Canis lupus familiaris: one gene and its partner. The protein of the gene in region 1 interacts with the protein of each later gene in a pairwise test. Links are inferred from orthologs where the notes say so. Each region holds a gene or a part of one and is shown on either strand. Other genes may lie near its edges.

Region 1 (4,755 bases):
TGCCTGCCACCCCGAGCCGGTGGGGGCCTGTGAGCCGCTCGGGCAGGTGGCCCCTGGTTCCGGCAGCGGCAGCAGGTAGCGCCCGGCCTTGAGCAGGGGGACTGTCCTGGCAGCGCTGCCTCTCGTCTTCTCCCCGGCCCCCCCGACCCCACCCCTCTCCCCACACTTGGGGGAGAGCGTTTAGTACCACGTGGACACAGACACCGCAGTGCGGGGACAGATTTCACCATGACACTGGGGACAGACCCCCCTCGCCCCCGGGCCTGGAGCCAAAAGAGCCAAGTGCTGGGCACTCATCCAACCAGGGGATGCTCCTCGGAGCCCCGGCCCGTGCTGCCCCGGCCTCAGGGGAGGTCCACCCTCGAGGCAGCTTCCCCCCGGGCCTGGCCTGCGGCACCCGCCCCAGCTGCCCCCCCCCCCCCCCCCCCACAGCCTCCAGCCTGGCTGTGCAACCCCGCTCTGGCGCCCACGGGCTCTGGCCCCGGGGCCAGCTGGCGGCCCCTCCCAGACGGGGCCCCCAGCAATAAAGCGGAGTTAATAGTTGGCCTGTGTCCTCTCTGGCTCCCAGCTGAGCCTCGCTCTTCATTCATTAACTCCTTATCTGCCCATCCCAGGCCTGCGGGGGGGACTGGACAAACAGGAACACCAGTTCTCGGCTGGGGCAAGGACAGGGCGCGGTGCTCACAGCTCGGGGCAGGGGGTTGGATCTCTGGCCCCACACGCAGGCTCCCATCCTGGCCTCCCCTCTCTCCAGCCGCCTGCCACCAGCACCCACCCCTTTTAGCTCATTGCCGGGGTCCCCTCTGCTGCCTCGGGGGCCAGGCCCAGGCTTGGTGGGGTGGGGGGCCCAAGCTGCGCCTCTCTGCTTGCTCCCGGGGCCAGCCGGCTCTGCCTGAACCTCTCCTCTTCCTCTGGCTTGGGACCTGAGCCAGTGTATCAAAGGCTCTGGCAGGAACCGGAAGGACGGATGTGATCCACTGCAAGGGCCCTGCCCTCGGGAGCCCGACACTCAACACTCGGAGCGGGAGACACATGCCTGCCCTCCCGGCCCAAGGCCAGGCCCGCTGGGAACTGTGTCAGACCCACAGGTCGTCCCGGAGCTTCTTGGTCTCCGTTACCCCCCCACCCCCACCCCCAGGAAGGCAGCAGCCGCCCTCCTAACCCAAACCCGGTGATCAAAGGTGGGAGACTCAGGGACGGCGGTCTGAGTGCACAGATGCTGAGGCAGCCAAGGATCACCGTTCAGGCTGCTTCACTGGTCTTGCTCAGGAACGCATCCTCGGATCACTCTCCCGGTCCACACTCACACATTCACCCCAGGGAGGAAGCCGGGTGAGTGCAGATCTAGCTGTCACCCCACCAGGAACATACATATCTTGGGCAAGTCACTTAACTGAGCCTCAGTTGGCTTGACCAGAGAACGGGGGGGATGTGATCAGCAGGAGGGACAGAACCGTGGCCACGGGACCTTGGGCGTCTGGGCCCAGGATGGTCTCCCTGCTGGGCCAGCACGGCTCCGCTGCCTCGCAGCCCAGGGGGCGGGCCGCCCCGCCGCCCCGCAGGGACCCTGGCTGACGTCCCGGGGCAGGCCCTCCACTCACCGTCGATGATTTCCTCCTTCACTTTGTGGAGCTCTCGGACTACCTCCTCGAGGATCTCCTGTAGGGAGCAGAGCTTCAAAGTGAAGGGACAGGAAACAGAGTGGAGGAAGCTGGCTTTGCCAGGGGCGGTGTGTCCCAAGGACGCATCTTATTTGCGTCCCCACAGGGCAAGGTTGGAGTGAATGGGAGACGGCACCCCACCCCAAGTCCTGCTGCAGAAACCAGGGGCGGCCCCAGAGCAGGCTGGGGGGCCAGAAGGGCAGAGGGAGGCTTCTCTGCTGCTGATGGGGTTGGGGGCCCAGTGCTGAGCGTGGACGCCCCCTGACAGACCTCTGGCCACCCTGCCTGCCCGCGTGGACATGAGAGGGTCCCAGCCTCTGGCTCCTGCACAGCCTCTCAGGAAAGGTCACACTCACCTGTTTCATCCGATCCAAATCTAAGGCATCCAAGGCCACGTCATTCACGCTCCCCACCGGCTTCATCCTGGAGAGGGTGGCAGGGTGCGGTAAGGAGGGCAGCAGGTCCTGGCGGGCGCCCACCACGCGGGGACAGATAAGGCAGGCGGGTGTGCCAGGGCCTCCAAGCGCAGGGCCGAGGCCCGGGCGTCAAGCACTGCCCTCTTCCCATCAGAAGCTTTTTGCTTTTACGCCTGGCCAGCCTTGAGCTACCCTGAAAGGAGTCTAGTGGCACGTCTCCACCTCAAGAGGGTCTCATGAACACCGTGGCCAGCCTTCCCAACCGCGGGGTACAACGAAGGGGCTGTGTGGGGACGTGAGAGCTCGTACACAGACGCGCCAATGCCACGGTCACTGTTCCGGTCGCACTGCCCGCTCTGGACAGCAGACACCGGCAAGCTCCTCGCTGGTGAGGGATCTGTCCCTGCCTAAACCGGGGCTCGGGGAAACCAGTGACGAGGACTTTACGTAGGATGCAAAGTCACAAAAATCACACAGTAAACACTCATCCCAACAGCATCTGCTTCCAACCAACCAACCTCCCTGGCGTTGGGAACTGGTCCTAGCGTGTAACTTTTTTTTCAGGAAACGTCCTTGGATGTGGTGTTGCTCTTCTGAGGCAAAGGGTCTCGGTCACACGGACTGTCCTTTGAAACGCTGCTGAACTAAGGTTAGCTAGTTCGATAGTTAATGTCTCTTGCATGGGAACCATCCCTGGAAAATCTTTACAGAATGCTCATCTGAGCACTCAGCCTCTAGAACAGGGCAGTGGGGGCGGAGGGGCCCACCGTCTGAAGCCCACTCATCTCCCGTGGAGAGAATGGCGGCTGGAGCCTGCGGGACCAGGGAAGTGGTGTGGCCCGAGCCGGCTGTGAGGACCACGGAGGTGACGGATGGTGGACACACACGTGACCCGGCAGGGCCAGCCAGCATGGCTGCGAGGGGCTCCTCTCTAGGGACGGGGCAGGCTGGGCAGCCGCAGTGTGTGTGGGTGGCCACCTCGGGCAGCAGGGAGGGCCCACGACAACCCAGGCCAGAGCTGCTGCTGGGGGTGTCTGAAGGAAGGAAGACTGCGGTCCTGAAGGCAGGGCCCCCCGGGTCACGGCAACGTTACTGACAGTGGCCTCGACGTGGAAGTACCGTCTGCTGACAGACGAACGAAGAAGATGCAGTGCACCCGGCCCTAAAAACCGAGTCCTGCCGCGAGTGACAACAGGGACGCCAGGACACCCCGAGGGTACGACGCTGGCTGGATCAGCAGGCAGAGGAAGGCAAGCACTGCTGGTCTCACTGGCGAGCCCACAGGAACACGGCAGATAGGTGGCTGTCGGCCGGGGCGGGTGAAGGAGGTCAAAGGGCACACGCCTCCGGGTGTAGTCGTGAGTTCTGGGATCTAATGCGCAGCATGGTGGCCACAGCTGAGCGCATGGTGTGGTACCCTAGAGGCGGCTAAGACAGGATCTTGACCCCGAGTGGTGGCTGTGTCCGCTAACCTCATCACGGTGAGCATCTCACAGACCTCTCACAGACACAGATCACACAGACATCGATCGCCGTGTTGCACACATCACACTCAGACGATGCTGGATGTCAACTATATTTTTAAAAAGCTGAGAAAACCAACCCCTGAATAAATCTAGGGGTCTAATACCTAAACCTGGAATAAAAAAAAAAAAAAAAAAAAAAGGAGGGGCTCAGTTGGTGAAGTGGCTGCCTTTGGCTCAGGTCATGGTCTCAGGGTCCTGGGATCGAACCCCGTGTGGGGCTCCCAGCTCAGCGGGGAGTCTGCTTCTCCCTCTGCCTCCCCCCCTGCTCTTGTGCTCTCTCTCAATAAATTAAACCTTAAGAAAAAAAAAAAAAAGAAATCCAAGAAGAACATGCTCCTGCTCCTCTCCTGGCTGAACTGAAGAGAGGCCAGTGTGGTTCTGAAGGACACTAAATAGCTTTGGATCCTGGTGGGGAAGGAGGTGCAGCCTGAGACCCCCGGCCCACATGTCCGTCTGTGGGGTCGGGGCCTGTTCCAGCAGCCATTTCTGGGGCCACCTGGACAAACTGTTTCACCTGTCGGGGCTCTGGTTCTCCCACATGCACACCTGACAGCTCCCCCGGGGTCACCCGAGGCAGACTGTGGCCGCCTGCCCCCTTCGGAGCCCTCCGTGGAACTGGAGAGCACACTGGTCTCAGAGGTGGAGAGCCCCATCCCAAGTGGGAACACTTGGCAGCCCACCATGCTCCACCTGCAGGAAGTGCTGGGGGGCCACAAGCGCACCCCTGGCCACCTCACCTCCTCCCTCCTCCCGGGGGCCCCTCCTTTGGCTCCGGCCCCCTCACAGCCAGAGAGAGTGCTGGTCCACCACGGTGAGCACATACAGAATGCAGCCCAGCCCTCCAGCCACGTGACCCCTGCCGGCCCCTCCCCACCTGCTGCCACCTGCTAGCCACGCTGGCCAGCTTCCTGTTCTGTGAACTGCCGGGTTGGTCACAGGGCCTCAGCACTTACCATCTCCAGCTCGGAAGACTGTCCCCACGCTCTTTGTAGGGCAGGCTCCTCCTCATGCAGGTCAACTCAAATGCCACCTCTGAGAGGCCTGTCCCAGCCCCTGTGCTAGAGCACCTCGGTCCCCAGCATGGTCTGCCATGCGACCCTCTGTGTTCCACACAGCACCTCTCAAACACACGGCCGCCTCGTGCATGGGCCT
Region 2 (4,755 bases), about 41 Mb from region 1:
ATTTGAGAGAGAGAGAATGGGGAAGGGAGGAGAGGAGGGAGAGGGAGAGACAGATAATCTCAAGTAGACTCCCCACTAAGTACGGAGCCCAATGTGGGGCTTGATCTCATGACCCTGAACTCATGATCTGAGCAGAAACGAAGAGTTGGATGCTCAACCGACTGAGCCACCCAGGAACCCCTAATTGGCCTTTTAAAGTCTCAGTTTCCTCATCTGTAAAATGGGGACAGATGATACCCAGTTTATGAGGTTGCTATGATGATCATAGAAGGAGGTTCTGTGCACAAACTAACATAGTGCCTTATGTTTAGCATGGGCCTGTCAGCTTAATGCATGGTATTTACTAGTGGTTAGGGCTTAAAACACTAGAATTGAGTGCTTAGAGTTAGCATTATGCTTATTACTATTACCTTGGCATCTATACATATATTATACCTACCCAACTCTTTACCCATCAGTGTGATTTGTAAAAACTTGTTTGGAAAACATGAGGGTGGTCTCTATGCTGTGTTTATAACTCCACTGGTAACTTCAGGAACTGTGACAAAAATTACACTCAAAGTCATAGGCGTATAGGTTTTATCACAGTGCAGAGGGAAGGGGGGAGGAAATGAGCGGGAGGAAGAATGACATTTCAAAGGCTTAAAATAAATCGCAGCATGATGCATCTTTAGCATAGGTTAGGCATGTGCCTCCCTCTTTAGCTGTATGCTTTTGCAACATTATGCTGATGTAATGAGTAAAAATATTTTGTATTCAAAGCACAGCCTTAAAATGATAACTCTCTGGTGGGACACTAACAAGATGGGGGTCTGGGATCCTGGCATGCTAAGAATTTTATACGGATTATCTAACTGACTCTTAAAAACCATGTGTGAGGTACAGGTTCATATTACAGACGAAGTCCTGAAGGCTCAAAGAAGTGAGAAATGGGCACAGTCACACCGCTAGATGGTGGAATTGGGACCTGAGTGCAAGCAGCTGGACTCCAGAGCTTGTAGTATGGCATGTGCTTTCTCTTAAGGAGGGTAGAGTAGTTTCTATTCAGAGACTCTTTCCTCCGTCTTTGATGATGGTTCGAGAAGAATGTAGGCCTCAGATGAAGGAGAGGCAGACTCTGCCAGGATAGTCTGGCCTCGGGGGAGGTGGGGAAGCTTGGCTTGAGACCCCACAATGGGTCCTCTGAGGTGGTCACTGGCTTTGGTTAACAAATAACAGATTCTCTACTCACCCGAAACTGACCACCATTGCCATCATCCAGCTCCAGAATGTAGCCTTCGGCAGGCACCGTGGACAGAGGTGGCTGTTTCCAGGACAGCGTGGCACTGTTGTTGTGGGTACAACACTCCTCCAGCTGCAGAATGGGGGTTGCTGGGACTGGAGAGGAAGCTAAACAGAAATTAGTGTAACTCTGGCTTCTGTTGAGTTGCAAACATTTCAGTATCTTGGAATGAGAAACATCCCCCTCATCAACCAAGTAGCTAGCCCATGGGGGACCTGACCTGGATCCCTTCCAGAGTTTCTAGGAATGGGACTGGTTCCTGAGCCACTGTGCTGCCTTCTGCCAAACTCATGATGATACGTCCTACCTTAACTGCCGGGGAGATAATTGCTCTGTTTCTCACCCCCTGGGCACTGAAGACATCATCCCTAAGGGGAAGGTATTTTATGGGGGATGGGTTTCCAGCTCAGCCCACTAAAGCCTATTTAACCCATAACATGGCTGAAAAACTTATCATTAAATTTATTCAGAGCCTTGACCTCCAGTGTATAAACTTGGAGCTGCCTATTCTGAGCAGGTTTTTGTTTGTCTATTTGTTGGTTTTACCAGCAATTCTACTCAAGGTCTTGTGCGTATAAGTAGCTGTAACAGTGAATTTTTGAAAAGTTAGTACTAAGTGACATAAAAACAGTGATTTCTCCATAACAAAACTTCTAAGAACTTGACCTCATTCTTTGAAGGTAGCTACGCTAGCTCAAGTCCACTTTCTGCAGGTGTAGAACAGCCAACTGTGAGCCTGGAGAGTAGTATGGGAGCAGAAGGGGCCCAGCAGGGGAGGGTCAAAATGTCCTTACCACTCTGTGAGAATCTGTCACAGTATTACTAGTCACAACATGCCCCTGTCCCCATTTTGTGCTGAGAGTATTTTCTATTACTTCAAACTGTAGAGTGGTTGAGCCTTTAGACACACAGATATGGAAGTGTTGGATAACAACAATCCCAGTTCCTAATCTATGAACTCAATGTATGTATTTGGGAGCAATGTTTTTACCCACTGCTTAACAATTTTTTTAGCACCAAAACATTAATTTATTTCTGTAGCACTTTAACAATAGAGAGAACAGTTTAGACCACATCCAGGGACATTTAAATGAACAAATGTTAATTATAGAACACCTGGTATGCTGTACCAAAATTGGACTCTGTGTCATGCATCAAATTATCTGCTCCCTGCCAAAATCTGCACCTCAGCCAAAAATGGTTTATTTAATAGCAGTTTAGGAAACAGGTTCTATGGTGGATAGCCTAGAAAACAAAAGCAGTGACCATAACACAAGAGATGTGAAGGTGAGGCAGGTTGATTATACTTATGAAAAGACGAGAAAACCAAGCCTGAGTTACTACATCAAACATAATGAAATCAAAAGTATGACCAGTTAATTGGAGGTGGTGAGTTTAGTAAGGGAAATCGTGTTTCAGGTTTCAATGGCATAGAGTTCTGTAGGTCTTATAAGAGTGGCTTCTACAGCCTCAGAGGCTCCCGAACATCTGGAATCAGAGGAAAGCAGATAATTCATTGCTTTGTTCAAGGAATAGACTACAGGACTGGATGGGAAGGGGGGGAGAGAAGACGTAACTCCTAATGATCATCTACTCATAAACAAGATATCACCTGAGAGTTGTAATTGGAGGGTGAACTTTAGGTCATCATGTATTAGGAAACTACTTTGTCATCAACATTTTTTCCCTAATAAAAATAATAAACTTTAATATATTAACCAGGGAGTAAATTATGATAAATTTAAGCAAACCGTTCTTCAAAGGGCTTCTAGAGATGGAATGATTCTCCCTGGGGATATTTGCTCTTAGCTGTCCTTATGAATCAGAGCCTACAATAAAACAACCTATTCCTTGGATTCTCTTTATTTTATTAGCTGCTCATCAATCTTCATTTTCCCTTTATTGGGAAATCTTTATTTCCCTTCATTTTCCCTTTATTTCCCTTCATTTCCCTTTATGTTTCAAGGAAATCTACATTTCATCAATTTTAAAATCAAAGAATAAGATCACAAGATGGTTTCAGCTTGAATCATGCAAATGCTTGCAATGTCTCTGATAAGAAACTCAAGTTTCCTTGTATAGATATTAGGTATAATTAACAGATTAATTGAAATACATGGTGTCAGGTGTAATTAAAACATGGGAACTTCATTTGTAAGTCCTCAGTGGATACACTTTATTTTTTAAATTTTTTTAAAAGATTTATTTTTATTTATTTATGATAGACATAGAGAAAGAGAGAGAGAGAGAGAGAGAGAGAGAGAGAGAGAGGCAGAGACACAGGCAGAGGGAGAAGCAGGCTCCATGCCAGGAGCCCGACTCGGAACTCGATCCCGGGACTCCAGGATCGTGCCCTGGGCCAAAGGCAGGCGCGAAACCGCTGAGCCACCCAGGGATCCCCGTGGATACACTTTAAAAGACCAAAAAGATAATAAAAAGTCTAACCACTTACTGACCTTCAGATTTTAGTACTGTTCAGAATTTAAACAAATTAAGCAAACAAATAAGCAAAATGAGAGAAGGAGGGAGAGAGAATAAGAGAGAGAAACAAAAATGAAGGAACATAGAGACATTTGCATGTCTAAATCTATTTCTCAATGTGCTTAGAATTATTTTTTCTGTTTCCTTATTTACCCCAAAGTGATGTTGCATATAAAAGGCAAGTGTGACAAAATTACAGCCTCATTAGCAAAGACTAAGGCTGACATTTTAGAAAAGCAGATTTTATAGTGGGTGTTATTACCCTATTTCACTTTATTAGGTATAAAATAAATGGTCTATAAGAATCCAGAGTATTTTCAAATTAACTTATTATTTGTGTTTTGGAAATGGATTGCATCACAGTTCCTGGGCTGAACTCTAAGAATTTTTATTTCATTGAAAATTCTGTCATTCGGCTGCCATAGCTGTCTTAATCTTAACACTTTGACCACGCTTGGACGTTTTTGTTTTTCCTAAAGAACTAGTGGTTCCTGACCTTATCAGAAGTCTATTGCTCAGCATTCTTTTAGCTCATAAAAATCAAGCTTCAGGCTAAAAATTCTCTTCTTAGTTATAAGGGTAACTGTTCTTACAGACTTCCTTGAAGGTGACTTTGTAGAGCCTTGGCTCAAAATTAAATTCTGCAATGGTGTCTCCTTAAAGTTTTCAAATGTCTTACCATTCTAGTTCAAATTATAACTTACATCTTTCATAGTCATTTATTTTTTTTTCAAGTCCTTCCGATTGTCAACACTCACAATGATGCAGGATTCCTCTGTGAAAGGTCATAGGACAAGAGTGTGACAAGGACATGGAAGGACACATGGCCACCCACTCTGGACGTGGAAACTAATGGCTGCTGATGTTTTCTGAGCACTTACCAAATACCTGGCAGTGTGGTGAGAGGATGCAGTCACTCATGTGGTTTTCACAGCACCCCCACAATAACGGATGCTGTTATTATTTCTAATTGGTTGATGAGGAAACTGAAA

Evidence for each region.
Region 2: the proteins of EVL (region 1) and TRIM9 interact in binary tests that used the Homo sapiens proteins (3 or more experiments, as listed by UniProt). The two-hybrid records come from large-scale screens. The link is inferred for Canis lupus familiaris from reciprocal best matches to the Homo sapiens genes EVL and TRIM9.

What each region holds. Positions count from the first base shown.
Region 1 is NC_049229.1:68,866,642-68,871,396, reverse strand, and holds part of EVL (ena/VASP-like protein), read right to left. Parts: intron 2,085-4,755; coding exon 2,018-2,084; intron 1,660-2,017; coding exon 1,602-1,659; intron 1-1,601. UniProt on the Homo sapiens protein: Ena/VASP proteins are actin-associated proteins involved in a range of processes dependent on cytoskeleton remodeling and cell polarity such as axon guidance and lamellipodial and filopodial dynamics in migrating cells.
Region 2 is NC_049229.1:27,612,053-27,616,807, forward strand, and holds part of TRIM9 (E3 ubiquitin-protein ligase TRIM9), read right to left. Parts: intron 1,390-4,755; coding exon 1,232-1,389; intron 1-1,231. UniProt on the Homo sapiens protein: E3 ubiquitin-protein ligase which ubiquitinates itself in cooperation with an E2 enzyme UBE2D2/UBC4 and serves as a targeting signal for proteasomal degradation.